Linked DNA regions of Notamacropus eugenii. The protein of the gene in region 1 binds, or shares a complex with, the protein of each later gene. Links are inferred from orthologs where the notes say so. Each region holds a gene or a part of one and is shown in the gene's direction. Other genes may lie near its edges.

Region 1 (16,321 bases):
GTGAGGGGGTAGAATGTTTGGGTGTGGACTAGCCCTCTTTCATCCACAGCTCCCACCTTAGATATATAATAAATATAGAACTTTACCTTGAGAAAAACTTGAAGTTGGAGGTAGGTATCTAAATATTGTCCCAAGGAAAGCCACTGTAGCTGGGACACAAGGACCCACACTCACACTATGGGATCTAGGTCACTATGAAGAGCCCTGTGAGGGGCCATAGGTTGGATTACCTTATAATGGGGAATGGGAGACCTTGGTGCATCCTCTTCCATAAAGTGGCCTCAGAGACCATGGTTTCCTCTACACCACCACCATCCCCCCACACTCTGGGGGAAGGAAGGGAGGGAGGGGATGAAAAGAGGTCTGCTTTGAGTCCATCACTTCTCTAACAGGAGGTGGGTAGCATGTTTCATTATGGAATCATTGTCATAGTTTTAAAGTCTTTCGGAGTTGGTTCTCTATATTTCAAAGTTGTTATTCTGTAAATCGTTCTCTTTTTGCTTCATTTTGGATCAGTTAATACAAATGTTCCTAGATTTCTTTATCATTCTTAGAACATAATAGAATTTCTTTACACTCATATACCATAATTTGTTAAGCCATTCCCCAGTTAATGGGTGCTTCCTTAATTTCTGTTTTTATTACCACAAAAAAGTGCTGCTGTATTTTTGTACATAGGTCACTTTTCTCTTTCTTTTATCTCTTTGACATTTAAACCTAGTAGTGGTGTTGCTTGGGTCAAAGGGTGTACACAATTTAGGAACTTCTTGAGCATAGTTTGCCAAGAAAAGTCCAAATGGGGTCAGATGTGACTGAAAATGACTGAACAAAAAATGTGTGCCTAATCTGAAGAACCTATTTCTTACCCATTACCAAATTATTTTGATGATTATTGGTTGGTAATATAGTTTGAAATATGGTATAGTTAGTATCCCTCTCTTCTCACTTTTTTTTTCATTCCATTGAGATTTTTTTTTTTAATCTAACTTTTAACATTTATTTTCACAAAGTTTTGGGTTACAAATTTTCTCCCCTTTTATCCCCTCCCCCCCCCAAACCCAAGCATTCTAATTGCCCCTGTGACTAATCTGCTCTCTCTTCTATCCTCCCTCTCTGCCCTTGTCTCCGTCTTCTCTTTTGTCCTGTAGGGCCAGATAGCTTTCTTTACCCCTTAACCTGTATTTCTTATTTCCTAGTGGTGAGAACATTACAGTTGATCCTAACACTTTGAGTTCCAACTTCTTTAGCTCCCTCCCTCTCCACCCCTTCCCTTTGGAGGACAAGCAATTCAGTATAGGCCAAATCTGTGTAGTTTTGCAAATGATTTCCATACTAGTTGTGTTGTATAGGACTAACTATATTTCCCTCCATCCTATCCTGTCCCCCATTACTTCTATTCTCTTATGATCCTTTGCCTCCCCATGAGTGTCGACCTCGGATTGCATTCTCCTCCCCATGCCTTCCCCTCTATCCTCCCCCCCACCCTGCTTGTGCCCTTGTCCCCCACTCTCCTGTATTGTGAGATAGGTTTTCCTATAAAAATGAGTGTGCATTTTGTTCTTTCCTTTAGTGGAATGTGATGAGAGTAGACCTCATGATTTTCTCTCGCCTCCCCTCTTTATCCCTCCACTAATAAGTCTTTTGCTTGCTTCTTTTATGAGAGATAATTTGCCCCATTCAATTTCTCCCTTTCTCCTCCCAATATTTCTCTCTCACTGCTTGATTTCATTTTTTTTTTTTGAGATATGATCCCATCCTCTTCAATTCACTCTGTGCACTCTGTCTCTATGTATGTGTGCGTGTGTGCATGTGTGTGTGTGTACTCCCACCCAGTACCCAGATACTGAAATGTTTCAAGAGTTACAAATATTGTCTTTCCATGTAGGAATGTAAACAGTTCAACTTTAGTAAGTCCCTTATGACTTCTCTTTGCTGTTCACCTTTTCATGCTTCTCTTCATTCTTGTGTTTGAAAGTCAAATTTTCTTTTCAGCTCTGGTCTTTTCATCAAGAAAACCTGAAAATCCTCCATTTCATTGAAAGACCATTTTTTCCCCTGAAGTATTATACTCAGTTTTGCTGGGTAGGTGATTCTTGGTTTTAGTCCTAGTTCCTTTGACTTCTGGAATATCCTATTCCATTCCCTTCGATCCCTTAATGTAGAGGGTGCTAGATCTTGTGTTGTCCTGATTGTATTTCCACAATACTTGAATTGTTTTTTTCTAGCTGCTTGCAATATTTTCTCTTTCACCTGGGAATTCTGGAATTTGGCCACAATGTTCCTAGGAGTTTCTCTTTTTGGATCTCTTTCATGCGGTGTTTTGTGGATTCCTTGAATATTTATTTTGCCCTCTGGTTCTAGAATCTCAGGGCAGTTTTCCTTGATAATTTCATGGAAGATGATGTCTAGGCTCTTCTTTTGATCATGGTTTTCAGGTAGTCCCAGAATTTTTACATTGTCTCTCCTGAATCTATTTTCCAGGTCAGTTGTTTTTCCAATAAGATTTCACATTATCTTCCATTTTTCCAATCTTCTCGCTATGTTCTGTGATATGTCTTTCTCATAAAGTCTTTAGCGTCCATCTGTGCCATTCTAGTTTTGAAAGAAATATTTTCTTCAGTGAGCTTTTGAATCTCCTTTTCCATTTGGCTAATTCTGCTTTTGAAAGCATTCTTCTCCTCATTGGCTTTTTGAACCTCTTTTGCCAATTGAGTTAGGCTAGTTTTCAAGGTGTTAATTTCTTCAACATTTTTTTGGTTCTCCTTTAGTAGGGAGCTGATCTGCTTTTCATGCTACTCTTTCATCCCTCTCATTTCTCTTCCCAGCTTTTCCGCTACCTCTCTAACTTGATTTTCAAAATTCTTTTTGAGCTCTTCCATGGCCTGAGCCCATTGGGTGGGCTGGGACACAGAATCCTTGATTTCTGTGTCTTTGCCTGATGGTAAGCATTGTTCTTCCTCATTAGAAAGGAAGGGAGGAAATGCCTGTTCTCCAAGAAAGTAACCTTCTATAGTCTTATTTCTTTTCCCTTTTCTGGGCATTCTCCCCAGCCAGTGACTTGACCTCTGAATATTCTCCTCACACCCACCTCGCCTCCTGGTCCTCCCAGCCAGCGTTTGGGGACTGAGATTCAAATGCTGCTTCCCGCCTTAGGGCTTTTGGTGGGGGCAGGGCTGCTCTTCAGTGTGAGAATTAAGTTCAGGTGGTCAGGTCGGGGCAGGGCTGCCTCTCAGGCTCAGTTCCCTCAGGGGGTTTATGCACAGACCTTCCACAGAGGATCCAGGCTCCCGCCCGCTTGGGGAGCCCCTGTCTGCAGCCACCTCTCAGCTTCTACCTGGGGGGGGGGGGGCCGAATCATGGGGGCACCCCACTCCCCTCTCGACCTGCCAAAGAGACTCTCTCACCGACCCCCGTCACCTGCGGGTGGAGGGACCCGCGTGGCCACAGGATATTTTGTCCCCGTAGCCCGTTTGGATCTTTTCCTCATGGTGTCGCGGCCGCTGCAGGGCTGCTCTCTGCTCCCAGTCCCGGCGCCCAGTCCACAGCGCGAAGGACCCCCCGCGAGAGGTTTGCAGGTCTCTCCGGAACAGAAATCTCCCTCGCTCCAATATTCCGTGGCCTCTGGGGGCAGAATTCACCGTGAGTTACTCCCCTCTAGCCGTTCTGTAGGTTGTGGGTTCGGAGCTATGTGTATGTGCCTCTTTCTACTCCGCCATCTTGGCTCCGCCCCCCTCCATTGAGATTTTTAACCTTTTGTTTTTCCAAATGAATTTTGTTACTATTTTTCCTAGCTCTATCAAGTAATGCTTTGGAAGTTTAATTGGCATAACACTAAAAAAAATTAACTAATATTATCATTGATGTTATATGGGTTGATCTACTCATGAGAAACTAGTATTTATTCAATTTTTTTGATTCTGTATTTTTATAAAGTTGGGGTTTTTAGAAAATAGTTCATATACTTTCTCTGTGTTTCTTGGCAGGTTCATTCCCAAGTCTTTTACATAGTGTTGTTGTTTTAAATGGGACTTCTATATCTTTTCTTGCTGGGTTTTGTAAGTGATACATAGAAATGCTGATGATAAACTATTATGTCATCTGTGAAAAGCAATTATTTTCTTTGCTCTTCGTGCTTATTCCTTTAATTGTCTTTTCTTGTCTTATTGCTAGAGTTGGCCTTACTACCACTGCCTTGCATCACCCATGATTTTATTGGAAAGGCCTCTAGTTTAACACTTTTAGTTTTAGATAGGTACTACTTATTATATTAAAGAAAGATCCATTTTTTATGTTCCTATTCACTAAAACATATTTGTAATCATGAAATCGATACATGTGCAGAGCAGCAAAAAATTTAAGTAGCACAATGTGCATGAGCCTACTTGAGGTCCAACACGGAGCTGCTCTGCTTTCTAATTTCAGCTCTCATGCTATAAACTTACACAATCTATTTAGTGCCACATTTTTAGCCTTTTTTTTTTTTTTTGGTAGTGATTTTGCTGTTTAAAATGGCCCCCAACCATACTGCTGCGGTGTTCTCTAATGTTCCTAAGCACAAGAAAGCTTTCATATGCCTTTGGAGAAAATACATGTTTTAGATAAAGTTCATTCAGGCATGAGTTACGGTGCTGTTGACTGTGACTTCAGTGTCAATGAATCAACAAGATGGTTCATCCAGAAAAAGGAAGAGGAATTTTGTCCATCTGTAGGTGAGGCCACTTCCAAAAGTGTCAAAATAAATGTGACCAGAGGTTCACAGGAACCGAATACTGTAGTTTCCTTTGGAGAAATGGTTCAGCATTCCCTAATTTTGTTTTTGCTGTGAATTTATAGATGATGAGAATTGACTGTGTGTGATGTTGCTAAGTGTCTATATTGAACATAAAGATAACAAATGGTACTTTGTTACTCTCCCTCTTCAGTAAACTCTGGAGTCTCCTCCTCACCTCCAGAATGAAATATAAAGTTCTGTACTTTGGCATTTAAAGCTCTTCAAAACCTGGACCCTTCCTATCTGGTCTTCTTACACTCTTTTTTACCTTCACATACTCTACAATCCATTCTACTGACTAATTTTCTTTTCTTTGCATATGACCCTCCCATCTCTTTATTTCTGTGCCTTTGCACTGGCTGTCTCTCATTCTTAGAATAATAACGGCTAATAAGAGGTAACATTTGTACAGTGCTTACTGTGTTCCAGGGCAGCTTGGTGACACAGTTAATAAAACGCAGGACCTGGAGTCAGGAAGACCCAAATGTAAATCCAGCCTCAGACACTTACTAGTTGTGTGACCCTGGGCAAGTCCCTTCATCCTGTGTGCCTCAGTTTCCTCATCTGTCAAATGAGCTGGAGAAGAAAATGGCAAACTTCTCCAGTATCTTTGCCAAGAAAACCTCAAATTGGGTCACAAAGAGTTAGACATGACTGAAATGACTTAGTGTATCAGGCGCTATACTAAGTACTTTACATTTATCATCCCTTTTGATCTTCAGAAGAACCCTGGGAGATAGGAGTTATTATTATCCTCATTGAACAGGTGAGGACACTGAGGCAAATAAGATTAAATGACTTACCCAAGGTCTCATAAGTACTAAGTGTCTGAGGATAGATTTGAACTCAGGACTTCCTGACTCCAGGCTTAACACCCTTATCTACTGTGTATAGCAATGTTGTGATAGTCACAGTGCCTACAGTGGCTATGAATATGCCAGTAAAATTCAGAATCACAAAATATAACACATTCTCTACATAGAAAGACAAAACCAAAACAATTATTTAAACACCAGAAAGCCAAATCCATCATAGCAGTAAAGGAATCCATGCTCACTAACAATGCAGAGGACACCACCATCCCCAAGCCTTCCCTGTTAGGGCTTTCCCACAAACAAACACTCATTGCACGCTGCCTACTTCCTCTTTCTCCCTCAGCTCTTAACTGCTGTGTCTGCCTTCCTTTCAGCTCTATTCCACCCTTTTGGCAAGCTCCTCCTACCACAGACTCATGTGACTCAGGCTTCCATGTGACTCAAGCAGGTCAGATGAGCCTGTTTATGGATGGGAAAGATCTTCCCATTATGCATAAATACATTAAAAATACACTGTGATATCTAGCCCCACCCCCACCCCCCCGGAATACCATTCCACCTTACCCCACTTTTTAATTTCCTTGGCCTCCTTCAAGACTCAGTTCACATCCCACTTTCTGCCTTTTCTAGTGATGTCCCTTCATACTCCATTCTCCAGTTGCCAAGTGCTTTCTTCTCTGAACTTCACCTGGGCCCTCTCTGCTTACAGGCCTACAGTAGGCAGTCCTGCTGTACCTCCTTTATCAACTCACTGCCCCACTATTCACAGTAGGTTTTTCAAATTGGCTCGCATACCCTCTAATCCCTACTCTCTCAGCTGAGAACCTTGCCCATATTTTACTAAAAATTAAAAAAAAATTTAAAAAATGTCATTCACTATGAACTCTTCTCTCCACTTCCTCATCTATTATTATTTAGGTGTCATGCCACTTTTCTTTCACCTATCTTTCACCTATGATAAGACCTTACTCCTTCAAGGCTAACCCCTCTATTTGTTCAAGCAATCCCATTACATCCCATTTCCTCCAACAGATTGCCACCTCTGTCATCCCCATTCTTTGGCTTATTTTCCCTCTCTCCCTCTCTATTGGCTCATTTTCTTCTGCTTACAAACATGCTCATGTCTCCCTCATCCTGAAAAAACCCTCCCTTGGCCCTTCCATCACTGTATTCTGTATATTACATCCGTTTGTAGCTCAGCTCAAAGAAAAGACCATTTATAGTAAGTGCTCCTCTTTCCCCCCTCACTCTTTTCTTAACATCTTACAATCTGGCTTCTGATTTTTTTATTCCGCCAAAACTACTCTCTCCAAAGTTACTAATGATCTCTTACTTACTAAGTTCTTTGGCCATTTTTCAATGCTTATTCTCCTTGACCTCTCTGCAGCCTTTGACATGATCATTCTCTCTTCATGAAGACTCTTTTCTGTAGGTTGTCAAAACTCTACTCTCTCCTGGTTTTCCTCCTCCTTGCCTGATCACTCTCTATCTCATTTGCTGGATCCTACTCCAGATCACACCCTCTCCCCAAAAGTGTCCCACAGCAGGCTGCCCTGATTCCTCTTCTCTTCACCCTCTTTCACTTGGTGATCTGAGTAGCTCCCATGGATTTAATGACCATTTCTGTGCTGATAATTCTCAGACCTCTTTCCTGCCTCAGTCTCTCTGCTGACTTGGTTCAGCCTTACATCTCCAGCTGCCTTTCAGACATCTCAAACTAGATGTTCAGTAGACAACTTCATCTCATCATGTCCAACATCAAACTCATTATCTTCCCCTCTAAACCCTGCCCTCTTCCTACCTACCCTATTACTATAAAGGGCAACACTATCCTTCCAGTCCCTTAGGCTCTCAATTTAGGAGTCATCTGGATTTCTCATTATCTCTCAATCACCATTATCAAAGCTATTGGCAAAGCCTGTTGATTTCACCTTTTCAGTGTCTCTTGAATTTGCCCCCTTCTTTCTTCTTATCCTGCCTCTGTTCCAGTATAGGCCCTCTTCATCTCACACCTGGTCTCCCTGTTACAAGTCTGTCCATCTTCCCTTCAGGCACTAAGGTAATTTTCTTAAACTTAAAGTCACTTTATCCCCTCCCCCTCCTACTCAGTAAACTCCAGTGGCTTGCTGTTACTTCCAGGATTAAGTACCAGATGCTCTGTTTAGCATTCAGAATTCTTAATAAGCTAACCCCCTTCTACCTTTTCAGTTTTCTTATACCTTACTCTCTAACACATATTCTTCTATCCAGTGATACCAGCCTTCTGTTTATTCCACAAATAAGACACTCCATCTCTGGAATCCTGGCTTTTTCTCTGGCTGTCCTCCATGCCAGGAATGCTCTTCCTCTTTCACCACTCTGGCTGTTGACCTCCTTGGCTTCCTTTAAGTCCCAAGTAAAATCTCACCTTCTACAGGAAGCCTTCCCCACCCCTTCTTAATTCAATGCCTTCCCTCTGTTAATCATTTCCTATTTATCCTGTATACAGCTTGCTTTATAAATATTTTTTTTGTTTTTATATTCTCTCTCCCTTAAATTGTACGTTCTTTTGAGAGCGGGGGACTGTCTTTTGCCTCTTTTTTTATCCCTAGCACTTACCACGGTACCTGACACATTGTAGATGCTTAACAAATGTTTATAGATTGGTTAGTTGATTATCTACCCTGTATATATCTTGTGTTACCTGATTATTTACCTGTTGTCTGTTCCATTAGAATGTGAGCTTCTTGAGGGCAGGGAATATTTTTGCCCCCGTATTTGTTTCCACTGCTTAGCACAGTACACTTAATAATCATTTGTTGGCTGTATTATTACACTGCAAATTTATTGATAATCCCTGGTATTTGTATAATATCTTATATTTTTCAAAGTTCTTTTACGCATTGATCCTTGCAACATTTCTGAGCATTTAAAATAAAGAAAATGAAGTATGGAGAGCTTGCGATTTTTCTAGCCACATAATAATTCATTAGGTGAATGGAGATTACTGACTAGATTCAGCGTTCTTTTCACTATAAGCAATTATAGCTGTAATTTTCTGTCATTTTCAGAGTTGAATCATTTCAGCAGTAAAGAATCCAGCAGACCTCAATGTTTTGTGAAGTACTATTTTCATCTTTTGCTTGAGAGAATTCTGAAACTACCAAGTAGCTTTGACAAGTATTTGTGTGAGTGAATCCTTTGTGAAGGTTATACAGATAGATGTTTTCATGAAGAGAGGTGAAAAGCCGGAAGGGTATAGACAAATGAGGCCTAAGACCTTTCCTGCCAGTAACTACACTGGCAGTAGCAGGCAAATGTTGCAAGAAATACGGGAGTCTCTTAGGAATTTACCTAAACCATCAGATGCTGCAAAAGCTGAGCATAATATGAGCAAAATGACAACTGAAGATCCTCGACAAGGCCGAAATCCACCCAAATTTGTGACATATCATAAAGCTTTGCAAGAAATACGAAACTCTCTACTCCCATTTGCAAATGAAGCCAATTCATCCACCAGGAGTGCATCAGAAGTTAATCGACAAATGCTACAAGATATGCAAATTGCTGGATTTGATGAGGTAAGAACTTTTAATGACACTATAGAATATTTCATTTATTTAGACCCAAGATTTACTATAGGATAAGGATAGGCACTGGACCTGTGATTTCATTAATATGGAAAAATCCCAGATAGGAAAGACCTTATATCAATAAGGTTGGTATCTTCTCTGCAACTTACAGTCTTAGAGTTGCCTAGAGTGGAAGATGACAAAATACATTCCACATTCCAAATCTGGCCCAATTCCTATGCCAGTGGTTTACTGAGTCCTGGTCTAAAGCTTAGAGAAGTTAAGTGCCTGACCAGGGTTAAATAGCCATGATATTAGGGGCAGGATTCAAAGCTGGATTTGAGACCAGCTTTTACAAAATTAAGTATAGGTCATGCTAAATACTGATTTTTAGATTGCTTTGTTTTCTAAACACAGGCTCTACCACCAAGTAATAAAGAAGTGATTTGAATCTGAAGCACGAAAATTGGTTGAGATGTGTTGTATGTGTATACACACATTTTTTTATGTCACCTACAAAAATTTCTGGTAGTCCTAATACCATTTATTCATTTACATGAGCCTACCACCTTAGTGTCTAAGTACAATAAAAAAACCACAAAAATCACAACTTATTCTCCCTTTCCTGGAGTGGCCTGGGAATCCAAAGGACAGAGTCTGGAGTCAGAAATACTCAGTATAGTATTTTAGAGAGGAGAGTGAATCTGTAGGATGATGAGCTAGGTAACCAATATAGAAGTAGAAATAGCTGTCTCTATAGGGGAATGGCAGTGGGAAGGATGATGATATGTTCACTTCTAGAGGACTGTAGGTTTTCATTGATGGACAGCTTTCAGTCTTATCTATAAAAATAGTATAGCTAATTCAGATGTTATATAATACATTATTGTTAGTACTGAGAATCTCTTTTGTGTCTTTTCCTTGATAGACCTATTTATCTTTTGTTTAGGCTGTTAAATTTTCTTCTCTTTCCTAATAACACACTTTATAATTGGAAACTTTGGGGGTAAAATACAGAGGTTATATTGAGTTTGACCATAGATAGTCACTATCTGTCTAGATAATCTGTAATTAAATAGTCAAGAAGTGATTTTTCCTTTTAAAAACAAAATCATTAAGTATTGATTAATTGAGAAGAGGAAAAAAGATAGGAAAACAGCAATAATAGAAAGCTTGTAAAGTCTATAATGAAACTACAGAGGAAAAGTAGTTTATTCTACTTGCTATTTGTTCAGTTGTTATTGCTGTTTTGTAAACATTTCATACTTAATAGTTTTTGAAGTATTGAAGATTAAAACAAAAACTTAGATGTATATTTTCTTTGAATGAATTTTATGAATTAGGTAATTGATGTAATAGGCATCTCCAGAACAGTGCATTTTTAATTCCAGAATGATGGACTAAAGAAAAAAGCAATAAAAAGACTCTATTGATCTCAGGTTCTCCTTTGTGAGTATTGCTGGGAAAGAGAATGTATGTATAAAATCACATATCTGATCAGTCTTTAAAAAAAAATTTGACTAAAGTACATGGGGAAATAGATAACAAAACTAAATGGTTGAGGTCTACACTGTGCTACCCATTTCCAAACTCTGCTGATCTGACCAAAAAAGATAAGCCAGAAAGAAGTTAAGAAATGAATAGAATTTAAGAAAAATTAGATATCATAGATCTCTGGCAAAAATTACTGAGTAGGAATGAAAAAGATTATATGCATATCTCAGCTATATGTATATTTGATACACATATCAGCATATTCATTGTGTGTGTGTGTGTGTGTGTGTGTGTGTGTGTGTAGCAAAATTTTCCACATACTAGGCAACAGCTCAGCAAACTACAGCATGCAAGCCAAAGCCAACCTGCTAGTTGTTTTCATACCACCCTGGGCTAAGACTGGTTTTGTATTTTAAAATAAAGTTATTTAAGTATGTAAAAGTCATTTTAAGCAGGGGAAATTGGAGGAGGATGCAGATTTGGCGCTCTGTACGTAGTTTATCAACTCCTGGCTCACATATAAAAATCTCAAAGCAGTATGGAAAATTGTAAATATGAAATGCATGCGTTATGGACCATAACACAAAGGTCTTTGAAGAAAAGAGCCAAACGTAAATGATGTTAAATAATTTAATTCTTAAAAATTGATGAATCAGAGGACAAATAATAGAACTAATAGATACTTTTTCATCAAAGAAAGTGACTATAATGAGACAACATGCCAAAACTTTTGGGATGTTGCCAAAGCAATCCCTAGGGGAAAATTAATATCTCTGAACATTTTCATCAACCAAAGAGAGAAAGAACAGATCAGTAAAGTAGGCATACATTTTTTTAAAAATAGAAAAGCAACAAATCAAGAAACTTCAACTTAACACAAAAATTAGAATTTCTGAAAATCAAGTAAGAAATTAACAAAATTGGAATCAATAAATTCAGAGTTTATTAAAATCTAGGGATTTTTTGTGGGGGGAGATTTTTTTAAAAGGCAAAACATTAGCTGGTATGATTTTTTTTAAGAGAGGAAATCCACATTAATAAAAAATGAAAATGGAAGCTCCATAACAAATGAAGGAGAAATAAAAATATTAAAAACTATTTTGCTTATATGCCAACAAAACTCATAGCATAAATGAAATGGGTGGATATTAGCAAAAAAAAAATAGTCAAATTAACAGAACAAGAAATAGATAGTTTAAATGATCCAATCTTATGCAAGAATTGAACATACCATGAATGAACTCCAAAAGGGGGGAAAACATGACCAGATGGATTTACAAGTGAATTCTACCAAATGTTCAAAGAACAGTGCATTCAATATAATGTAAATTGTTTGCCCAAATAGGAAAAGAAGAAATGCTATCAAATTCTTTCTGTATTTAAAAATAAGGCCTTGATTTCTAACCTTGAGAGAAAAAGCAGAGAAAAAAAACTACAGAATAAACTGTTCATTCCTAATGAATTTCAAAAAAACTATTGAGGATAATGTTAACATATGGTTCACAGAAACAAATTGAAAAGATTTTATTAAAATTAAAAACAAATTTTAAAAATGATCATATTGGATTTCTACTAGGAATGCAGGGTTGGTTCATTAGTAGGAAAGCTATAAATATAATAAGCTGTATTAATAAGAAAAAAACCACATGGTTATATCAATAGATGCGGAAAAGGCTTTTAACAAAAAACTCCCTTTTGTAAAAAACAAGCAAAAAAACCCCACTCTAAGTCAAAGGAATAAGCAGGCCTTTCCATAATATGGTAAATAGTAGACTGGCTATAAAATAAAGAGCCAATGAAGATTATTGTGTAATTGAAGAAAGCTAGAGGTCTTACCAGCACAATCTGGGTAAAGCAAAGATAACCCACTTTTATCACCACTTTTATTTGATATGGTGCTAGAAATGCAAACTATAACAACACAAAAAAGAAAATAAACTGAGGAAGCAAATATAGGTAGAGAAGAAACAGTTGTCACTTTTTACAAATGTTAATGGTCTACTTAGAGAACCCAAAAGATTCAGGAAAAAAACCCCAGATATCATCGTTTCTGTATATGAACAACAAAAAGGGAAACCCAACTGTAAAAGATAGAGAAATTCTATTAAAATATTAATTGGTTATGATTGGGCCATTCCAATACAATAAAAATGACTACTACCTAAATGAATTCATTTATTTGATACCATATAAAATCAAATTACCAAAGCGTTGCTTTTTAAAACTAGAAAAAATAAAATTCTCTTGGAGAAATAAAAAGTCAAGAAATTCAGAGGGAAAAAATGAAAAAAGAGTGGCAAGGAAGGGTACCTAGCAGTACCAGATCTCCAACTATTCTACAAAGCACTAATAATGAAAACTTTTGGTACTGGTTAAAAATGGGAAAATGGACCAGATAGACATACAATATAAGAGCCAAGAAACAAATGAATATGGTAGCATTGTTTTTTACTTCTCCCTGCCCCCAAACCTGAGTAAATTAAATCTTCAGTGAAGTAAAGACTCAATATTTCAACAAAAACTGCTGGGCGAACTGGAATCTGGTCTGCAGAAAATTAGGTTTAGATCAACATACCATATTTCACAATAAACTCCAAATGAATACAGTACCTAAATATTTCTATTAACATCTAAATATTAATAGAATAGACAGGCAGGGAACGAGATATTTTCATATTTATATATTAGGGAAGAGTTGTTGACCAAACAAGAGACAAGGAAAGCAAATGAACAGCTTTTAATGACTGGAAAGCTTATGTATAAACAAAATTAATGCAGCTAAAATTAGAAAGGGAATGGGTAATTGGGGAAAAAAATTTTAGCTGAGAAAGAACTAATATTCAAGTTATTTTGGGAACTTATGCAAATATATAAAAGCAGAAGCCATTCCCCAATACATAGGAAGTTCTCAAAAGAAGGAATATAAGCTATCAGCATATTAAAACATGCTCCAAATCACTATGATAAAAGAAATATGACTTAAAATAATTCTGAGTTTCTATCTCATACTCATTAAATTGACAGAGGATGAAAAAGAAAAATTACATTTCTTTGAAAGGTTTGTTGGAGGACAGATATACTAATGCACTATTGGTGCTATGTTCTAAGCCATTCTGGAAAGCAATTTGAAACTGTTTCCAAAAAAGTACTAAACTGAATGATATTTGATTTTGATAGATCACAGAAAACAGAAATGGACCTATATTTACAAAGTCTTTTATAGCAGAACTTGTTATTTTAACAAAAACTGGAAGATGAGGGGATACATATCTACTGGAGAAGGACCAAATAGATTATGGTGTTTGAAAGTAATGGAAAATTGTTGTGCTGTGAAAAAGATGGATTCAGAAAACACTAGGAAGCCTGATATGAACTGATGCAAAGTGAAGTGACAGAACCAGGAGAACAATTTATATAATGACTATATCATTGTAAAGAAATGCAGCCTTGAAAAATTTAGGACCTCTTATCAATTCAGGGATCAACTCCAGAACACGTAATGGTGAAGTGTGCTGTTAAGTTCCTGACAAATCATAGACTACTCGATATACAGAATGAGACACATTTTCAGACATGAGTAATATATGAATTTGTTTTGCTGAGGAAGGGTTTTGTTTTCTTTTAATTTGGAAGGTACATTAGCTAATGATAGTGATGCCCTCCAGGAAAGAAAAAAGTCATTGAAACTTTTTTTAAATGCCCAGAAAAGAACAAAAGAAAGTTCAGTAGCACAGCTTTGAAACCAACATATTGAATTTGTTACATAATTTTTTAAAAATAGTCTTAAGTAACTTACATTTTCTTATGAAATCTTCTTTCTCTTATATGTGAAAATACTCATGTCTTTTGGTGTTTGTCTAGTTCAGGAAAACAAAAAATGAAAATTTTATTTTCACTGCTGCAAAGGTCCTTTAGATTGTAGGTAAAGCAAACATACCTCTATTAGTCACAGTCAGTATCTGCCTTCTGGTAAAGTAGAAAGAGCACTGGATTTGGAATCAGTCTTAAATTTAAGACCCAGCTCTGCCATTTACTTGGGCAAGTCACCTAATGAATGAATAATTAAATGAATAAATAAACAAAATGAAAAGGCATTGTCCTCTTCATAACACAGTAAGAAGCAGTAGAAAAGAGGAAAGGGAAGGAAGGAAAAAAGGAAGGAAGGAAACAACTCTATGCTAAGTGCTCTACCAGTATCATCTCATTTGATCTTTTTAGCTACACCTAAATTAAGTTGCAACTGCCAGGCAAATGGCAAGGCTCAGAATTTCTAAAAGTTCAGTAGTGAAGTACATGGCAAGACCCAGGGGTCCTCAGCAAGTCATATAGCAGCATCCACATTTCTTGAGGGTATAGTGGCAGGGTATACATTGAGACCCTCGAAGTCTTCAAATGAGATAATATTTATAGAGTGCTTAGTGGAGTGCCTAGTACACATTAGGTGCTATATAAATGTTTGTTCTCCCGTCCACACTTTCAGAAAGATAGTAGTTGGTGTGAGCTGCAGTATCTACTAATAGGGCAGGGGGTCTGGAAGGTTGTGGCATAGCGTCATTGGGAAGTGAGGAGAGGATTAGACTATCTCTCTGAGTTAGAACAAGGATTCTTCATTCTCTCTGACAGGAATTAGAAATAAGACATTAATTTCTCTGATCTTCATTTTCCCGATATGTAAAACAGAGATCTGAAAAGGCACTTAACCTTGATGGTCTTCAAATATCTTTCAGAATTTAATCCAGTGTCCTAGACTCATGCCTCTCAATTTAAATATGAAAATTCCATGACTGAACTCCTCAGTTTTGGCCACCCAGTATGTATTTTCTCAGCTGCCCCTAAATTGCTTATCAGTGCATCATCTTCATATTTTTCTTCTACTGTCTTTATACCTTTATGTATAACGATATCAGCATATTTGTTTTAAGTTATAAGCTCCAAGAGGACACAAACCAAATCAATGTAGTTCCCTTGGTATAGTGCTCTGTGCAGTTAAGCACTTAATAAATGTTCTTGATGGTGAAGCAATATAGCATTTGATCAAAGCAATGGTGTTTAATGAAAATGCCTTACTTCTGTGAAAACGTTTGAGTAGGCTGAATTATCATTTTGAAATCCTATTATTAACTACATTATGTTTTTACATATGTTAACAAAGTGATTAGGGTTAAAATCCACCATCTGACACCTATACCAGCTTACTGAGTGTCCACCTTACCAAGCTACTTAACTTCTGTTTGTTCCAGGCAAATCCAGTCTGGGAATGTGACAGAGGAAATTACCATACTGAAAGTTAACCATATTTTTAAAATCACAGATCTTGTTTCTCTGTACATGAAATAAAAGCAATAATGATATTTAAGTTACAAAGCAGTTCTTTTTACGAGATAATTAACAAGTGATATCAAAAAATTCAAATGTAGTTCAAGAATTTTTTTGAATTATGAGATTATGTAGTTTTTTAAATAGACTTTTTTCTATGACTAGGTTCTTGTGTTTGAAATTTAGGTCGTATCTTGGAGGTCTCAGACAATATACTTGTTCTCAGCAATTTAGAAGAGTTGATTTTTTTCCCTTTTTGTAAACTTCCTTCTAGGATATGGTTATACGAGCACTTCGACAAACTAATAATAAAAGTATAGAAGCGGCAATTGAATTCATTAGCAAAATGAGTTACCAAGATAGTCGAAGAGAAC
Region 2 (16,352 bases), on another chromosome or scaffold:
CTAACAGAAGGAGGTGAGCATGCAGATTTCCAAACCCTTACACAGACAAAAAGCCTCATCTTTCATGTACTCTGGTGAGCATTCACCATATCTCCTCCAATACACCACTGCCCTTCAACATACTTCTCAACGTCCCTAAGGCAATGATTAGCCAAACAGGAGTGAAGGCACAGCTTATCTTTGTTCCAGGCCATTCGCCTGGGTCTGCGAGAACCTTTATCAAACATTCTCTGAACACAGGGGCCATAAAACCATTCTCATCCTGGGCAGATATTTGCTACGGGGCCCTCTAGGAATGTAAAGCAGTGATAGGAGTACAATGGGCCTGTTTAAGCACGTGAAAGAGAAGGTAAAAAATATGCTAGCATAGTTTCTCTACATGACACGTCATTCTCTGTCGCTCACGTACACCAAATAACGAATATGAGTACAGTCAATCAATCACTAAGCATTTATTAAGCACCTAGTGTTTGCCAGGTACTAGGGATATGAGTACAAATTTAAACAGCCATTTCCTTCAAGGAACTTACATTCCATAAGGGGAGTCAGCAGAATAATAAAAACTACCATTATACACATAATAATACTATAAGCTAGTGCTTTAAGGTTTGCAAAGAGCTTTACAAATATTAGCTCAATTTACTGTCACAATAGCCCTGGGAAGTAGGCATCATTATTCCTTGTTTTACATATGAGGAAACTGAGGTTAGTTTTTAAAAAATTAAAAATGTGAGCTAGGAGGTCACCATTATCTACCTAGTTATTAACTAACTAAACTAGTTACCTAGTAAGTAACTAGTAATTACCGTTACTTGAAATGTGAGCTAGTAGGTGTCTGAGGATGTATGAACTCAGGTCTTCTGACACTAGGTCCATCAGGCTCGTGCGCGTGCGCGCACACACACACACACACACACACACACACACACACACACACACACACACCCAATGTAATAAATACAAGGCAATGGAGCTAGCAGCTTGGGGAGAATCAGGAAAGGCTTCATAGAGGAGGTATATTTGAAGAGGAAAGTAGGAATTTGGGCATTACTGGCTCTGAGTGGGAGGGGGGGACTCAGGCATAGAGATGGGATGTCATGTATGAGGAAGAACAGGTCTAGCTGGTTGAAGTTCAGAATTGGAGTGATCCCTAGGAAGGCCAATTCATGACTGCCTGGAGTCAGGATCTACAAGAATTTAAATACCAACCAGAGGAGCTTATATTCTATCCTAGAGGTGACATCCTTTGAGCAGTCTTTGCCTCATCTGGGTGCTCCAAGCACACAGCAGACATTCACGCCATTGGCAAGAGCTAGATTCCATCTGATGAAGCACAAAAGGCCAGAATCTCCTGGTTACCAAGGAAAAGAACAGAGAATTCCATGGTTTTTGTTTGAAGTCTGTTACTTCATTTGAGAAGGGGAAGGGGAAGCAGCTCCCTCTTCCAATGTAGATGAGGAACTATTTTGGTCTTTAGGATCTTAGCTGGATAGACCACTCAGAGGTTCAGGGACTTGTCCAGGGTCACACAGCCAGAAGGTTTCAGAGTGGGACTTGAACCCAGGTCTTCCTAACTCCAAGACCAGTCCTTTATTATTCTAAGCTGTCTCTTCTTTTTCTTTATGTGAATCTTCTGAGAGCAGGAAGTATTCATATTCACTCATTTGCTTTATCAAAGCGAATATGGTGCTTGATGGTGGCAAAATCTGAAATGAACACACGGTCTTTACAGCAATCAAGGGATGAGTCAACGCCATCTCAGGCCAGGTGGCCAAAAACGCTCCTAGGTGTTCTGTCTAAGAGACAGTGTGGTTTGTAGTCAAGTCAACTGGCATTTATCAAGCACCTACTTTGTGCCAGGTCCTTGTGCTGAGTCTTTAGGGATACAAAGGGAAGAGACATTCCTGTCCCAGAGGACTTTCCAGTCTGACTGTAGGAAGTTTGAAGGACACTGGTCTTAGAATACAAAGACCAGGTGGGGTTCCAACAATTGTCTTGTTTGGAAGAGCCCATGTGGCTTTCTCTAGTAAAACACTAACTCTTTGAAGAAAGGGACTATTTTGTATTGTCTTTGTGCCTATGGTGCCTAGAACATGTCTAACAAAAAGTAGGTACTGAATATGTGCTTTGATGGACTGAGTGAAAATTGTTATTCTGCCTTTCATTGCTCCAGATTTTTCAACTGAAAAATCAGGGTACTGATATTTGCCCTGTGTGGTATGGTGGAAAGAACATGGATTTGGAATTAGGAAGCCTGATGAAGGAAACTGGAAAAACCAGTTTTTCATTTCTGATCTTTGTCTATCCCACAAGTCCTCCGTGGCCTAGCCATTCTCCCTCCTCCTGGCTGGAGGTCTACTCTCCTGCCTTGACCCTTTTCTGGAACACACTTTCTACTTCCTCCCTCCTCCACATTTGGATTTTCTATGCTTAGAGGCTTCCAACCTATAAACATTTGGTTTCCTGGATGTTGGGGGGGAGAGATTAACCTCACCTGCCTGATCCCTGATTGGGATCCCTGCTCATCCCTCTAAAACCCCTGCCCTGATTCCTGAGCTACTCTAAAGCACAAAGTGAAACTGGACCCAGGAGTCCCAGGGACAGAGAGGTAGGTATGCCCATAGACCAAATCATGGCCACAGTTTCTTGAGAGGACATTTTGGATATGATGTGTAACGATTATACTATCTGGATATCTTAGAGCTCCCATTTCCCCAGCAGATTTTGGCTTGGAAGTCAAGAGATTCACAATGCAGCTTAAAATGATCCATCAACTCTGACAATTCCTACATTCCTGCGCCTGTGTACCTTCAGTGAAGCAAATCAGAGATTGTAAAACCTGTTCCCGTCACAGAATACTGGTTCTGTGCCCTACCAAGAAATCACGACCCCCAAGATTTGAGGCCATCAGCTTAAGAACTGTTCTCACAGAACTCAAGAACACCTGCATTGCCTGCACTTGTGGATTTGCCTTAGGAAATCGCTCAAGACCTAGAAATGACTATGTTGGGATCCACCTTCCCCCAACCCTTCCCATTTGTGATCTATGTAAATAAGCTCTGACTTTATTCTAGCATGATAAGCTTTTGTTCTTAGAACTTCAGGTTTGCAAACTGAGTTCCTCCCTCTGAAATTAATTTAACTGCTACTTGATTGCTGGCACACTCACCTCTGACCTGCTCTGTTTTGTCTCTGGACATTCCTAGGTTAGAGACCAGTACAATAAAATTCTGTTAGTGTAAAGACTATCTGGCCATTCCTGGCTGTAAACCTTCTCTACCCTGACCAGTCTTATTTTGAGGAGTCGATCTTGACCCATGGATGGGGAACTGTTAGTATGCTAGTATGATGACTTGGTTGAATTTGCCTTATCTTTTGGGTACCTTTGGGATGATCCAATTAAGCCAAACGGCCCTCCCTTAAACATAACAAATAAAAGGCTTGTTGCTTTCAGCATTTACTTTTTCATTATTTCTTTTTATTAATTAAAAGTTGACAAAATTTTGTTTTTTCTCCCTAACTCCCTCCTCTGAAAAAAAAATGACAAATAACAAATAGGAAGTCAAGCAAAAGAAATCCCCACCTTGTCCATGTCCAAGAATGTATGTCCTATTCTGCATCTTGATCCCTCTGTCTTGCTCAGTCTTGATCCCACCTCTCTGGGAGGAAGAGGGTATTTTCATCCTTGGTCATGTGGAGTTGTGGCTTATCATTGCAATGATCAAAGTCCTTAAGTTTTTCAAAGTGGTTTGTCTTTACAATGTTGCTGTCATGGTATATAAATTGTTCTCCTGGTTCTGCTGATTTCACTATGCATCGGTTCATACAAGTCTTCCCAAGATTCTCTGAAACTATTCCTTTCCAATTGACTGGTTTCTTCAAAGTTCATTTCATCCCAGTAATAGACTCCAGCACCTGAGTTCAAATCCTGACTCTTCTATTTACTCCTTGGGTGACTCTGAGTGAGTTACTTCCCTTCTGTGTTTCATGATCCATAAAATGAGCACATTGGACCAGATGGCTTCTGAGACCCCCTTCTACCTATAGATTGATGACCCATGAAGTCCCTTCTCCCTTCTGAGCCTCAGTTTCCTCATCTATAAAATGAGAGTTTTGAACTATATAGTGAGCTCTCTCCCATGATCTTGTGTATGACCTTCAGTAAATCAACCTTTCCTTTGATCTCAGACCTTCCATCTTCTTACTCCTAACCAAGGCTAATCCCTCTACATGTCCAAGTGACCTTAACCCCATCCCATCTTCTCCATAAGATTTTCCCCTCTGAAATGGATGGAAGAAACCAAAGCTATCTATAGTCACAGAAGTTCTCTAAATCACTTTTGATTAGGGAAATGCAAATTAAAACAACTCTGAAGTACCATCTCACACCTATTAGATTACCTAATATAACAAAAAAAGAAAATGATAAATGTTGGAGAGGATGTGAGAAAATTGGGACACTAATGTATGTAGTGTTGGTGGAGTTGTGAATGGATCCAACCATTCTGGAGAAGAATTTGGAACTACGCCCAAAGGGCAACCAAACTGTGCATATCCTTTGATCCAGCAATACCCCTACTAAATCTGCATCCCAAAGAAGTCATAAAAAAGGGAAAAGGACCTACATGTATAAAAATATTTATAGCACCCCTTTTCATGGTGGCAAATTATTGGAAACTGAGGGGATACCTATCAATTGGGAAATGGCTAAACAAGTTGTGGTATATGAATGTAATGGAATACTAAGAACCAATGTATATTTCAGAAAAACCTGGAAAGACTTGTGCAAACTGATGTGAAGTGAAATGAGCAGAACCACGAAAACATTATACATAGTAACAGCAACATTTTGTGATGATCAACTATGAAAGACTCAGCTCTTCTCTGAAACACAATGATTCAAGACAATTACAAAGAATTCTTGATGGAAAGATAAAGATCTGATAGACTTTGAATTTAGATCAAAGCACGCTTTTTTCATTTTATTTTTTTTCATGGTTTTCCCTTTTGGTCTATTTCCTCTTTCACAACTCTGACTAATATGGAAATATGTTTTACATCTTTGCACATATATAACATATCAAATTACTTACCATTTTAAGAAGAGGGGAGGGAAGGGAAGGAGAAAAATTTGGAACTCAAAATCTTGTAAAAATGAATGCTAAAAATTGTCTACACATAATTGGGAAAAAATAAAATATTATAAAAAAAAGATTTCCTCCTCTGTCACTCCCAATCTTTCACTTTGTTTCAATCTCTTTCTGTCTGTTGGTTCTTTCCCTACTGCCTTATAAGCATGTTCATGTCGCCCTCATCCTCCAAAAAAAACCCTACTTAATCCTTCCATCCTCACTATCATCCTATGTCTCTTCTGTGTTTTGTGGCTAAAAAGGCCTTCTTCTAACAGGGGCTTCCACTTTTTTTCCTCTCATTCTCTTCTTAAAGCCTTCCAATCCAGCTTCCAAAACGTCTCTCTCCAAAATTACTAGAGCCCTTTATTGCCAAGTCAAATGGCCTTTTCTCAATTCTCATTGTCCTTAACCTTTCTGCAGTCTCAGGCCAGGAGAGCAGGACACACTGACTTCCAAAACATAAATGGAAAGAACAAAAGAGCAGAGATTGAACCTCATGGAGTCGCAGTAACCAAGCTTGTCCCCAAAGAAGACGAGCCAGGTCAGGGGTGGGGAACCTGTCAAAGAGCCCCACTTGAGGACCTAGAGGCCCATCTGTGACCCACCCAAGCCAGACAGTCAGCAAGCATTTATGAAGCGCTATTTATAATGCTTAAAGCAATGCAGTCCCTGCCCTGCCCTGACACTCAACATGCAGATAACTAGGGCAATGAGGTGGCTTTGCAGATACCACATTGGCCTTGAAGTTAGGAAGCCTTGAGCTGAAATCTTACCACAGACACCTGCTTGTTGCGTGATCCTGGGCAAGTCACTTCACCTCTCTCTCTTTTAGTTTTCTCAACAGTATAAAGGGGATAGAAACGCAGCTATGAGGAAATGAGATAATGTATGTAAAGTGCATTGTATTTAAGTGCTTTGTTTCAGGCACTACATAAATGTTAGCTGTTATTATTACTTACATATAAGATGTGTGTGTGTGGGGGTGTGTGTGTGGGTATATGTATGCAGCAAGGTGGTGCGCTGGGTAGAGCAAGAGGCCTGGAGTCAGGAAGACCTGAGTTCAAATCTGACCTCATACACTTACAAGCTGTGTGGCCCTGGGCAAGTCACTTCACTGTTTGCCTCATCTGTAAAATGAGCTGGAGAAAGAAATGGCAAAAGCCACTGCAACTTCTTGAGCAGGGTAGTTACACGGTCAGGTCTATATTTAGGGCTATTAATACTTGTAGAATATGGAGCCACTAGAAGGAGACCAGTTAGGAAGCTGGAGGTAAAAACTACAATCTCAGACAAGTAATCTCATTCTTGTATGGGGATCTCCGTACTTAGGATGCATTCCCCAGGAAATGACAACTCACATTTTGTAGCATGGGGTCAACAAAGGGCTGTCTCCTCACAATAACTCTGTGAAGTACGGGATGCAATGACTGGTCCCCCCATTTCACAGATGAGGAAACTGAGGTTCAAAGAGGGTAAAAGATCTGAGCAGTCACACAGCCAAGAGCTAAACTCCAATTTAATTCACCAGAAATGTATTAAGCTTGTCCCACCTGGGCTAGGTGCTGTGCTTTGTTCCTGCTGAGTCATTTCAGTTGTGTCTGACTCTTCATGACCCCATGTGGGGTTTTCTTGGCAAAGACTCCAGCTCCTCTTGCAGATGAGGAAACTGAGGCAAACGGGGTTAAGTGACTTGCTCTGGGTCACACAGCTAGTCACACATTTGAATAGGAAGTCTTCCTAATTCCAGGATCCGCAGTGTGTGCCCTGTGGTGCCACCCGGGTGCAGACGCAAAGACACAACGAGTGGTCCAGCCCCTCCCCTCAAGGAGCTTGCCTTTTACTGGGGGACCCCACACGTGTACTCACAAGCACGACACGGAAGCACTTCCGTGGGGCGGGGAAGGCTTCTCAGAGCGGGGTGCTGGCTGTGCTGACCCGTTAGTGCTCAACCTGGAGTCATAAGGATCTGAATTCCAATCCTGCCTCGGACAGGTAAACCCCTTAACCCTTTCCATCCTCGGTTTTCTGGTCTATAAAGTGGGGGTGACAAGAGGGATATGACAGCAGATGGGGAACATCATCTCCTCCTCTCCTTCCTCACCAATAAGTTTGCCCACTGTCACCACTGCCAGGAAAACCTGAAGAAGGCTAGTGGTAGTAGCAGCGGTAATGGAGGTGAGGCTGGCACAGGGAACCACCCGCGCACGAAGCACCTGCAGAACAGGCTGGCTCCGCTATGCCACGCCCCTCCGCGACATTTCAGTGACGTCACCGCCACGCCCCCACCCTCTCCCCGCCTCTCCTAGCGGGCCCCTAGTCGAAGCTGGCTTTCTCCAGCGCTCCAGCAGGAGGAGGAGGAACCCGGCAACAAAGGCGGCCCGAGCGACAGCCGCATCGACCACTCAGCGCCGAGTCCGGCCTTACGCGCCGGCGAGACCCAGCTTGCCACTGGCCAGCCTTCTTCAAGGGGGCGTGGCCGAAGGCTAGGCCCCGCCTCCACCGGGTGGGGGGCGGGAGAGGGGAGGTCGGACCAATCGGAGCGGGGCTGGGTGGGCCGCCAGTGCCTCAGGCTACGGGCCGAGGGCGCGCGCCGAGCGGACTGGGCCCGGACCCGAGCGCCCCCGGGAGCGCGCGCGCTCCCCTCACTCACTCGCGTGCCCGTTCGGCCGCGGCTCCTCCGAGGCGGGACGGGAGCGCCGGGAGCGGAACGTGGCGAAGCCTCTGGGCCTCACGAAGTCCTGAGCGCCAGCCTCCGGCCGCCGCCCACCGCGGAGGGGGCCCGCCCCCGCCCTCGGGCCCCGCGGGGTGGGCGGCCGGCCTGGGCCCGGGGTCCGGGGTCAGGGGCCCCGAGGCCCGAGGCCACGCGGCTCCGCGCAGGCGCCATGAGGCCCCCCGGCTCCGCGCAGGCGCCCTGGCGGCCCTGAGGCCTGGGCGGCCTGTGGGCTGAGCCGGGCCGGGCCGGGGCCGGGGCCTTGCCATGGCCGGGGCCATCGCGTCGCGCATGAGCTTCAGCTCCCTCAAGAGGAAGCAGCCCAAGACGTTCACCGTGCGCATCGTCACCATGGACGCGGAGATGGAGTTCAACTGCGAGGTAACTCGCCCGTCCGCCAGCACTGCTTGAGCGCCTCGTGTGTACCCCGCCCGAGTGAAGGAGCCCCGCCCGCCAGGGGGCGGGACGCGGGGGCGCCGGCCACGTGTCCCCGGAGCCGGAGCCCTCCGCGCGGCAGGGGGCCGGCGGGCCGGACCCTCCAGGCGGACCTGAGGCGGGGCGGGCAGCCTGCCGCGCGCCGGGCCGGGGGGCCTCAGTGTCCTCCGCCCCAGGTGACCACCCGATCACCACCGCACCCCGGCCTTGTCGTCCTCGGGCAGGCCGGCCTCCTGCCTCTGCCCCTCCGATCCCTCGTGCGTTCCGTGCCCGGTGTGCCAGCTCAGGGGGTGAAGTTTAGCAAGTACCCCTGAGTGTGGGTGCCCACATAGTACCGATGCACGCCCAGCATCAGTATGTATGATCATACCCGGATTTGTAATGTGAACATGTATGTGTAAGTGTGTAAGTATCTGTGCATGTTTACGTAAGCATGTTGGCACTGGTCAGTCCTTTCAGCAATGCGCCCTCCACGACCCCACTGGGGGTTTCCTGGCAGAGATACTGGAAAGGTTGGCCATTTCCTTCTCCAGCCCATTTTACAGGTGAGGAAACTGAGGCAAGCAGGGTGAAGCGACTTGCCCAGGGTCACCCAGTGAGGGGGTGTTGGAGGCCAGATTTGAGCTCACATACATGAGTCTTCCACATTCAATCCTGGTGCTCTATCCACCGTGCCACCTGGCTGTCCATACAGAAGGATATGAGCACATAGATGTATACATGCAAATATATGTGTGTACGGATGTGTACGGATGCATGCGTGTGTATAGACATACGTACGTACATACACACTGTGAATGTGTCTGGTGGATGTGTGTGTGGGGGGCAGCACTGTGGGATGCAGAAAGCACTTGACTTGGGGCTCGGACGTCTCCTGCCCTGGATCGCTAAAGTCGCTTGGCCTCTGGGAGCTAACATTCATTCCATGAGGGATGCACAGACGTGTGTTTGCATTTGGAGTATTTGTAAATACTGTGTAAAGTGTTTGAAGGGTTGACTAGAACCTCAGTGACACCCAGACTGCCCCATACGTGACAAGCGACCACCCTGGAGCCTGCAGCTCCCTCTGCTTGAAGACCCTCTAGGGTGGGGACCCTGTTGCTCCTCTAGGGGAAGGAGAGCTGGGCTGTAGTAAAGACAGCCCTGGACTGGGGGTCCGAGGACCAGACTCTGCTGCTGGTTACTTGCGTGACCTGGGGCAAGGCGTTTCTGGGCCTTAGTTTCCTCTTCTGTAAAGAGAGAGAGGCAGGTGAGGGGGCAGCATTGGTAGGTCCTGTTCAGGGCCCTACTGGTTGCCCAGAGTGCATGGAGTGAGGCATCCAGAAAGGCCAGGGGGCTGAGGGGAAGGGGGGAGGGGGAGAGCTGACCCAGTCAGGGTGACTTGGGTAGGAGAGAATGTAACAGTGACACCCTTGGGGAGCTTTTAGGTCAGTGAGGTGTTTGGCACACTCCCTTCTGGGCCAATCAAGTCATCCTCACTTTGTGCTGTTTGACTAGGTGACTGCAGGGTCAAGCATGGGTGGAGTCCACGTGTTTGGGCCACGTTGCCCCCTGACACCTCCAGCTAGAGGCTGCCTAGTCCAGCCCCCTCACTTCACAATAAAGGAAGTCACAGAGCTAGTAAGTGTCAGAACCGGGACTGGAACTGGCTTTGGATTCCCAAATTCAGGGCTCTTTTTACCGTGCCATACTGCTCTGTGGAGCTAGAAGAGGCCTTAGTGGTGATCTGGTCCAAGCCCTTCTTTTTGCACATGAGGAAACTGAGGCAGACAGAATTAAGTGACTTGCCTTGAGTCAAACAGCTAGTAAGTGTGTGAGGCTGGCTTTGAACCGGCCTCTAGAGCCAGCACTGTATCCATTGTGGCCCCTAGCTGCCACCTGGTGATGATAGTAGTACCTACCTCACAGGGTTGTTAAATAAGATATTTGTAAACAGTTCTTAGCACAATGCTTGGCACACAGTGCTGTATAAATGTTAGCAATTATTATAGTGAGCAGTATATGGTAATTTTTTTTGTAGGGTGTGAAAGAGGATTGTTTGGCTCTAGCTTGGAAATAGGGAATCAGCTTGAATGGAGTGGGTCTAATGGCCCAGACCAAGTAGTCTTTGCAAAGGCCAAGGCCACTTTAGGAGAGTACAAGTCTTGTGTATCATCTTCCAGTGTCTCATATCATGTGAAGGTGGTTTTTCCACAGGCGAACTTTGAATTTGGAAGCTCATGTTAATGGGCTTAGTCATTATATGACCTGGGAGAAGCTGGCAGTCCAGTCAGCCCACAGCATGAGTATGTGCTGCATGCCAGGCACTGGGCCAAGCAGGGGAGATGCAAAGAAAGGCAAAAGACAGGCCCTGCCCTCAAAGGAGAGACAACAGGCAGACAACTGGGGGCAAACAAGCTGTAGAACAGGCTAAATTGGAGATAAACCCCCGAGGGCAGACAGCAGCAATGAAGGAAAGGCTTCTGGGGAGGAGGAGCTGAGACTTGAAGGATGCCCGGGAGGCCAGGAGGCACAGATGAGGAGGGAGAGCATTCCAGGGAGGTGAGGCAGCCAGTGAAATGTTTGGATTTGGGAGCTGGAGCATTGTGGGAGAGGAATGCCAAGGAGGCTGGGGGCCCTGCATAGCTGAGTACTTGTTGGAGGGCTCTAGTAAGGGACCAGGTTGTGGGTGGCATCTGTGCTTTAGGAAGATCACTCCGGTGTCTGAATGGAGGATAGATCAGATTGGGGAGAGATAGACTGGCAGCAGGCAGGCCCCCCCCCCTCCCCCCCCAGCAGCTGTATCCAGGCGGGAACTCTTCTTTGTAGTTTTACGTATAACATTCATATCTTGGAGGGGATGCCGTACAGATAGAGAATGGTGTCATGTACCTCATTTGTCAGAAATTGTATAACTGAGGTACTTTGGGGAAAAAAATTAAGCTCCTTGAAGGCAACGTCTGGGTCTCTGTCTCTCCAGCTGTTGCCCAACGCTGCCTTTCCATATGGCAGTCATTTATTGTATGTTCGTCAAGTGATCATAATCATGAAAACTCAACATTAAAAATCTGGTGAGAGATTTTAGCCTAGAGTTGGACTGAGATAAAGGGAAGAGGAGTTATTTCCATGAAACGTTTGTTTTCCTTGTACTAAAACCCTGCTCATAGTGCGGAACGTTCTCCCTTCTCCACCCAGCTCACTGACCTCCCTTAAAGTCCCAACTAAAATCTCTTCTTCTACAGAGAGCCTTCCCCAAGCCCTCCGAATTCCAGGGCCTTCCTTGTTAATCATATTTTATTTGTCCTCTGTAGCTCGCTTGGCATGTGTTTGTTTGCATGTTGTCTCCCCCATGAGACCATCTGCTCCACTGTCTTTTGTCTTTTTTTTGTATCCTCATGCTTTTCGAAAGTGCCTGGAATGAAGCAAGTACTTAATAAATGTTGATTGATTGATTGGATAACCATGGGCTCTCAGGCTATTCCAGGGAAGTGCAGGCTTTGTTAGGCACCAGCCCCCGTGATGGATTGGCTGTCTGTCTGTCTGTTTCCTGAGACCCAACCAAGCTAAGAAAGGCCCATCAGATTTGGCCACAGAGCGCTAAGGTTTTTGGCCCTGTGGACGCTGGAAGACCATTGGCTTAGAGTGGTGGCAGGGTGACAGAATTCCTTCAGTGAAACCACCCTCACTCCTTGAAGTGTTTGAACTTTGTCCTTGTGCTCTCCCTCAAGTACAGTTGACACCTGAAGGTGGGAAGAAAATATCCTGGAAGGGCCATTCCCACTGACTGGCACATCTCAGAGTGATCCCAGATTTGGGGACCCAGCGACGATGGCGAGGGGCACAGAGTGGTCATGCGTGAAGAGACTTGACTGTTCCCCTCGGATATTAAATGATCGTCTTGTGCAAGTCTTCAGAAGGCAGAGTGAGAGCTCCTGAGAGGCCCTTGAAGGAAGCCCATTGTGGCTCAGTTCCAGTTCAGGAACCCTTAGAAAGGCAGGAGTGGCTGTTTACAGATAGTGAGGCATCATCGGCTTGTAGGAATTGTTAGGGAGGACCTTCCTGACCCGTGTCTAAGTTGGACTGAGTGACCTCCAAGGACTCTTGCAATTTTTTTATTCTAAGAGCAGAATGTTCTTTAAATAATTTGTTTTAGAGTAGCAGATTTCATTGAGCCCAAAATTCTCAACCTGGAGTCAGTAGGTGGATTTCTAGGGGTCCATGAACTTGGCCAGGAGAATTACACTTTTATTTTAATAAACGGATTTCCTTTGTAATCCTCTGTATTGTATTTGATGCGTTTGAAAATAGGACTCTGGGAAGGGTCTGCCAAAGAGGTCCGAAACTCTAAAAAAGATTAAGAACTCATGAATTAGACAGAGACTAGGCTTCTGTGGTTTGACAAGTTGTTTCATCCTGAGATTGCTAGTGGAAATATGTCTGCAAAGTGCTGTTGGATGTCAGTTTGAAAGCTGTTGAGTGATGCCTGATAACAGAGCGTGCTCTGAACTTGGTCAACTTTTTGCTTGTTCTACATGACCAGAGCAGGGGATAATTCTCTGGCCGATGGCCTTGAACGAGAAGGATTCTCGGCCAGGTGAGGTTAGGCGGAGGTGGCTTTCTAAGAAGGATCACATTTCAGTATGAGTAGTGTGTGATTCAGAGGACTCGAACTAGTTCATACTTTCATGAAGAGAATTAGGGCCCAGCCTTCCACTTCCCTGGCCTCCTGTTTGTCCTTGAGTCACTTTGCACATTTAGCTTGCTGCTTTGGAGAAATACATGGGAAGAGTTATTATTTTGGTATTAGTCATTTGGAGAAATAAGGTGCTGCTCATCATTTTGCCAGTAATTGGAAATAGCCCTTCTTCAGAATTTTTCTCCAATGATTAATCAAGAAAGGGCCAACGTTTGAGAATTCTCCAAATTGAGTTTGAAGAGCTTCCCAGACTGTAGACCTGCTTTGGCATGTTGGCTGGGCTTTCTGTTCCAAAGGAGATGCAATCAAACTTCAGGCTGTGGATTACCCCTACACGTAAGACATGTTGTAAAGGGGCAGAATCATCCAGGACTCCAGAACACCTAGCGTTAATAAGTAACAAGTTAAAGGAGCGTCATGAGGTTTAAGTGCCTGGTTCAAGGGGGCATAGCTATTAAGTGGCAAAGCCAAGATTTGAACTTCAACCTTCCAAATCTCATGTTCTTTCTGGTACAAAAATCTGGCGTTTTCTTTTTCCTTTTTTTAAAAATTAAGTAATTTATTTGTTTTCAGTTTTTTACAGTCACTTCCATATATCTTAGATTTATTCTCCCTCCCTCCCCCCTCCCTCTCGAAACAGCATGCAATCCTATGTAGGTTCCACACATGCATTCTTATTAAATACAAAAAATCGGGTGTTTTCAACAAGGAGTTTAATTGCAAAATTCAAATAACATTCTTGTAGAACTCTCATGATTTTCTTTGGAATTGCTTTATTCTGAGTCCCAGCCCCATGGATATACCTCACCCCAGGTGGCCTGGATACCTTTGGCTGCCCTTTAGGCGTTGGCTGAGAAGGAAAAAAGGAAATAGAGCTGGGGAAGGAAGATGGTGCACGTCAGCAGCCATTGGTACCTTCCTGCCTATTGCCCTTACCCCTTATAAAGCTGTCATTCACCTCCAGTTTATTAAGCCCTTACCATGTGCCTGTCACTGTGCTAACCCTGGAGGGTACAGAGAAAGGCAAAAACAGCCTCTGCTCTTGAAGTGGTGGAGACATGGACAACAATAACCTTGCACCTGAGGCGTCTTCCAAGTGAGTGGAAAGGTGAGCTCAGAGGAGGGAAACCTCGAGCTTTGTCCTCTTCAGCCTCCCAGAGCTGCTTGGATCCTGGGTTAGAGATTTAGGCTGGAAGGGACCCTAGAAGTCATCCATCCCAGCCCCTCATTTTACAGGTGAGGAGCACGGTGCCCCGAGCAGTGATAGAACAGGGTCACACAGCCAGGATTTGAACCCTGGTGGTCCCCTCCCAAATGGACAACATCGCTGTAGTTTCTGCTTCATACATGGAGTCAGAGCTTGGTGTGAAGCTGTGCTAGTCCTAGGAGTGGTCTCCTGTTATGTGTTGTGCAATTCTTCTTCTTGTCATGGCCCAAAGGCCAGGAGATCCTCTAAGCGCTGCTCTGATTATATGCCTTACACATTCTACCCCATTCTTGCCTTTCCTGCTTTGTTAGTATTGGTCTTGGCTTCAGTGTGTGTACGTGTGTGTGCATGTGTAAGTGTGTGTGCGTGTGAAAGTGTATGTGTATATGTGTGTGAGTGCATGCGCATGTGTGAGTGTGTGTGCATGTATGTGTGAGAGTGTACCTGTGTGTGTACATGCATGTGTGTATGTGTGTGTTAGAAGAACTACCTCTGTTTGGTAGGTGTCAGTTGCTGGCCCAGTTTAGGGAATGGATGCAGCCCTTTTCATGCTGCTCTGGCCTTTCCCTCTGCTCTCAGAAATGCCTCTGGTTAAACCATTTGGTGAGGCCTTCCTGTAAGTTTGCCAAGCTAAAGCACCTACTGCTTTTGGTTCTGTGAAGCCCTTGTATGTTCTAGTAGTGGGCCCCAGGAAACACAGACAGAAACAAGGAGGAAAGGGTAGGTGCTGATGGAGAGAACATTTATTAAGTGGGTGAAGATGAGTCACGTACAATCAGATAGTTTGGAGGATTCTAAATGCCAAACACAGCAGTTGTTATTTAATTCTAGAGGAAGTAAGGAACTGGTGGGTTTGGGAAATGATGTAGTTAGACTTGGGCTGGAGGAAAATCACTTTAGCATCAGTGTGTGTGTGGGGTGGGGGTTGGGGGAGACACTGGAGGCAGAGACTAATGGGAAGGCTGTGCAGCAATCCAGGTGACAGGTGGGCATGGCTGTGGGAACTCTATATGGCATTTTAGAGCTTCATTCTCCAAGTCTATTGATGACATTCTATTTGCCAGTTTTGGTGAGAGTGACACTCAGCTCTCAATGATTGGCAGCCCGCCCCTGCTCGATTGGATCTATATGCCATTTGTTTCAGGAATTCAAGGGGATTATTCCCTTCAACAACACAGACTGCAGCCCTTCTGTCTTAATAGAGAACAACTTGAGAATTGCTGTAGCAGAAATATTAATCACTCTGAGGCCTGCAGTGTACACTTAGGATCTAAAGAGCAGTTTAAATTTTTAAAACATTATTTTTATTGATATTTTTGGTTATTTTCATACATTCATTTGTGAGAGTATCTTTCTCTCCTTGCTCAGTGAGTTTTCTCTTATAATAGGTATTTAAAAAGAAAGAAAAACATAGCATTTCACAAAATCAAGCACTATTCTGGCTTCTTTTGGATGGCATTTGTCGTATTCCATACATGTATTCTCTTGCCTTTGCAAACAAGGTAATTGAAAGATGAGGAAATTCTGTAATGCCTCCTCTTGTTTCTCTCCTTTCCCTTCTTTCCCTTCTGTTTGTTTTAATTTAGGAAGAAGAATGAAGAAGTTGCAGCAGAGGTCAGTCAAACATTAAGTGCTAGGCCGGGTGCTAAGCCCTGAGGCTACAAAGAGAGACAGAACCGTCCCTGCTCTCAAGGAGCTCATCAACTAATGAGAGACACATGAGAATGACTGTAGACAGACAAGCTGTCTGTCTGTCTGTCTCTCTGTCCATCCATCCATCTATCCATCTGCCTGTCTCTTTCTGTCTCTTTATCCATCCGTCTCTCTATCTCTCCATCTGTCCATCTACACACATGCATATACACATATATATGAATTGAAGTAATCAGCAGAGGGAGGGCACCAGCATGATGGGGATTGGGTTTTGGCTGAGCCTTGAAGGAAGCCATCAGGCACAGGTGAGGGGAGAGACAGAGGAGCGTGGCGGGTCAGTCAGTGAAAATACCTTTTGGTTCTGTGAAGCCCTTGTATGTTGGGGGATGGAGGCCCAGGCAGGAGGCCAGTGTTGCTGGAGGGCAGAGTATGTGGAGGAGCCTGGGGCTAGGTCTCAGTCAGGATTCAGAAGTGAGGGCACAGCACACATCTGGCAGATAAGGAATTTGAACATTATTAGGTAAAGGGGAGCCCCTGCAG

The links.
Region 2: the proteins of LATS1 (region 1) and NF2 are in contact, whole or in part, in a crystal structure (PDB 7LWH), measured with the Homo sapiens proteins. The link is inferred for Notamacropus eugenii from reciprocal best matches to the Homo sapiens genes LATS1 and NF2. Residues at the interface, in NP_004681.1 of Homo sapiens: Pro69, Lys70, Phe71, Gly72, His74, Ala77, Leu78, Glu80, Ile81, Arg82, Ser84, Leu85, Phe88, Ala89, Asn90; in NP_000259.1 of Homo sapiens: Pro135, Glu136, Ala137, Val139, Leu140, Tyr144, Asn175, Leu176, Tyr177, Gln178, Met179, Met183, Trp184, Arg187, Trp191, Glu206, Ile210, Asp213, Leu214, Glu215.

The regions. Positions count from the first base shown.
Region 1 is NC_092873.1:241,728,175-241,744,495, reverse strand, and holds the start of LATS1 (serine/threonine-protein kinase LATS1), read left to right. Parts: upstream 1-8,661; 5' UTR 8,662-8,795; coding exon 8,796-9,146; intron 9,147-16,221; coding exon 16,222-16,321. UniProt on the Homo sapiens protein: Negative regulator of YAP1 in the Hippo signaling pathway that plays a pivotal role in organ size control and tumor suppression by restricting proliferation and promoting apoptosis.
Region 2 is NC_092875.1:16,046,328-16,062,679, reverse strand, and holds the start of NF2 (merlin), read left to right. Parts: upstream 1-8,008; 5' UTR 8,009-8,109; coding exon 8,110-8,223; intron 8,224-16,352. UniProt on the Homo sapiens protein: Probable regulator of the Hippo/SWH (Sav/Wts/Hpo) signaling pathway, a signaling pathway that plays a pivotal role in tumor suppression by restricting proliferation and promoting apoptosis.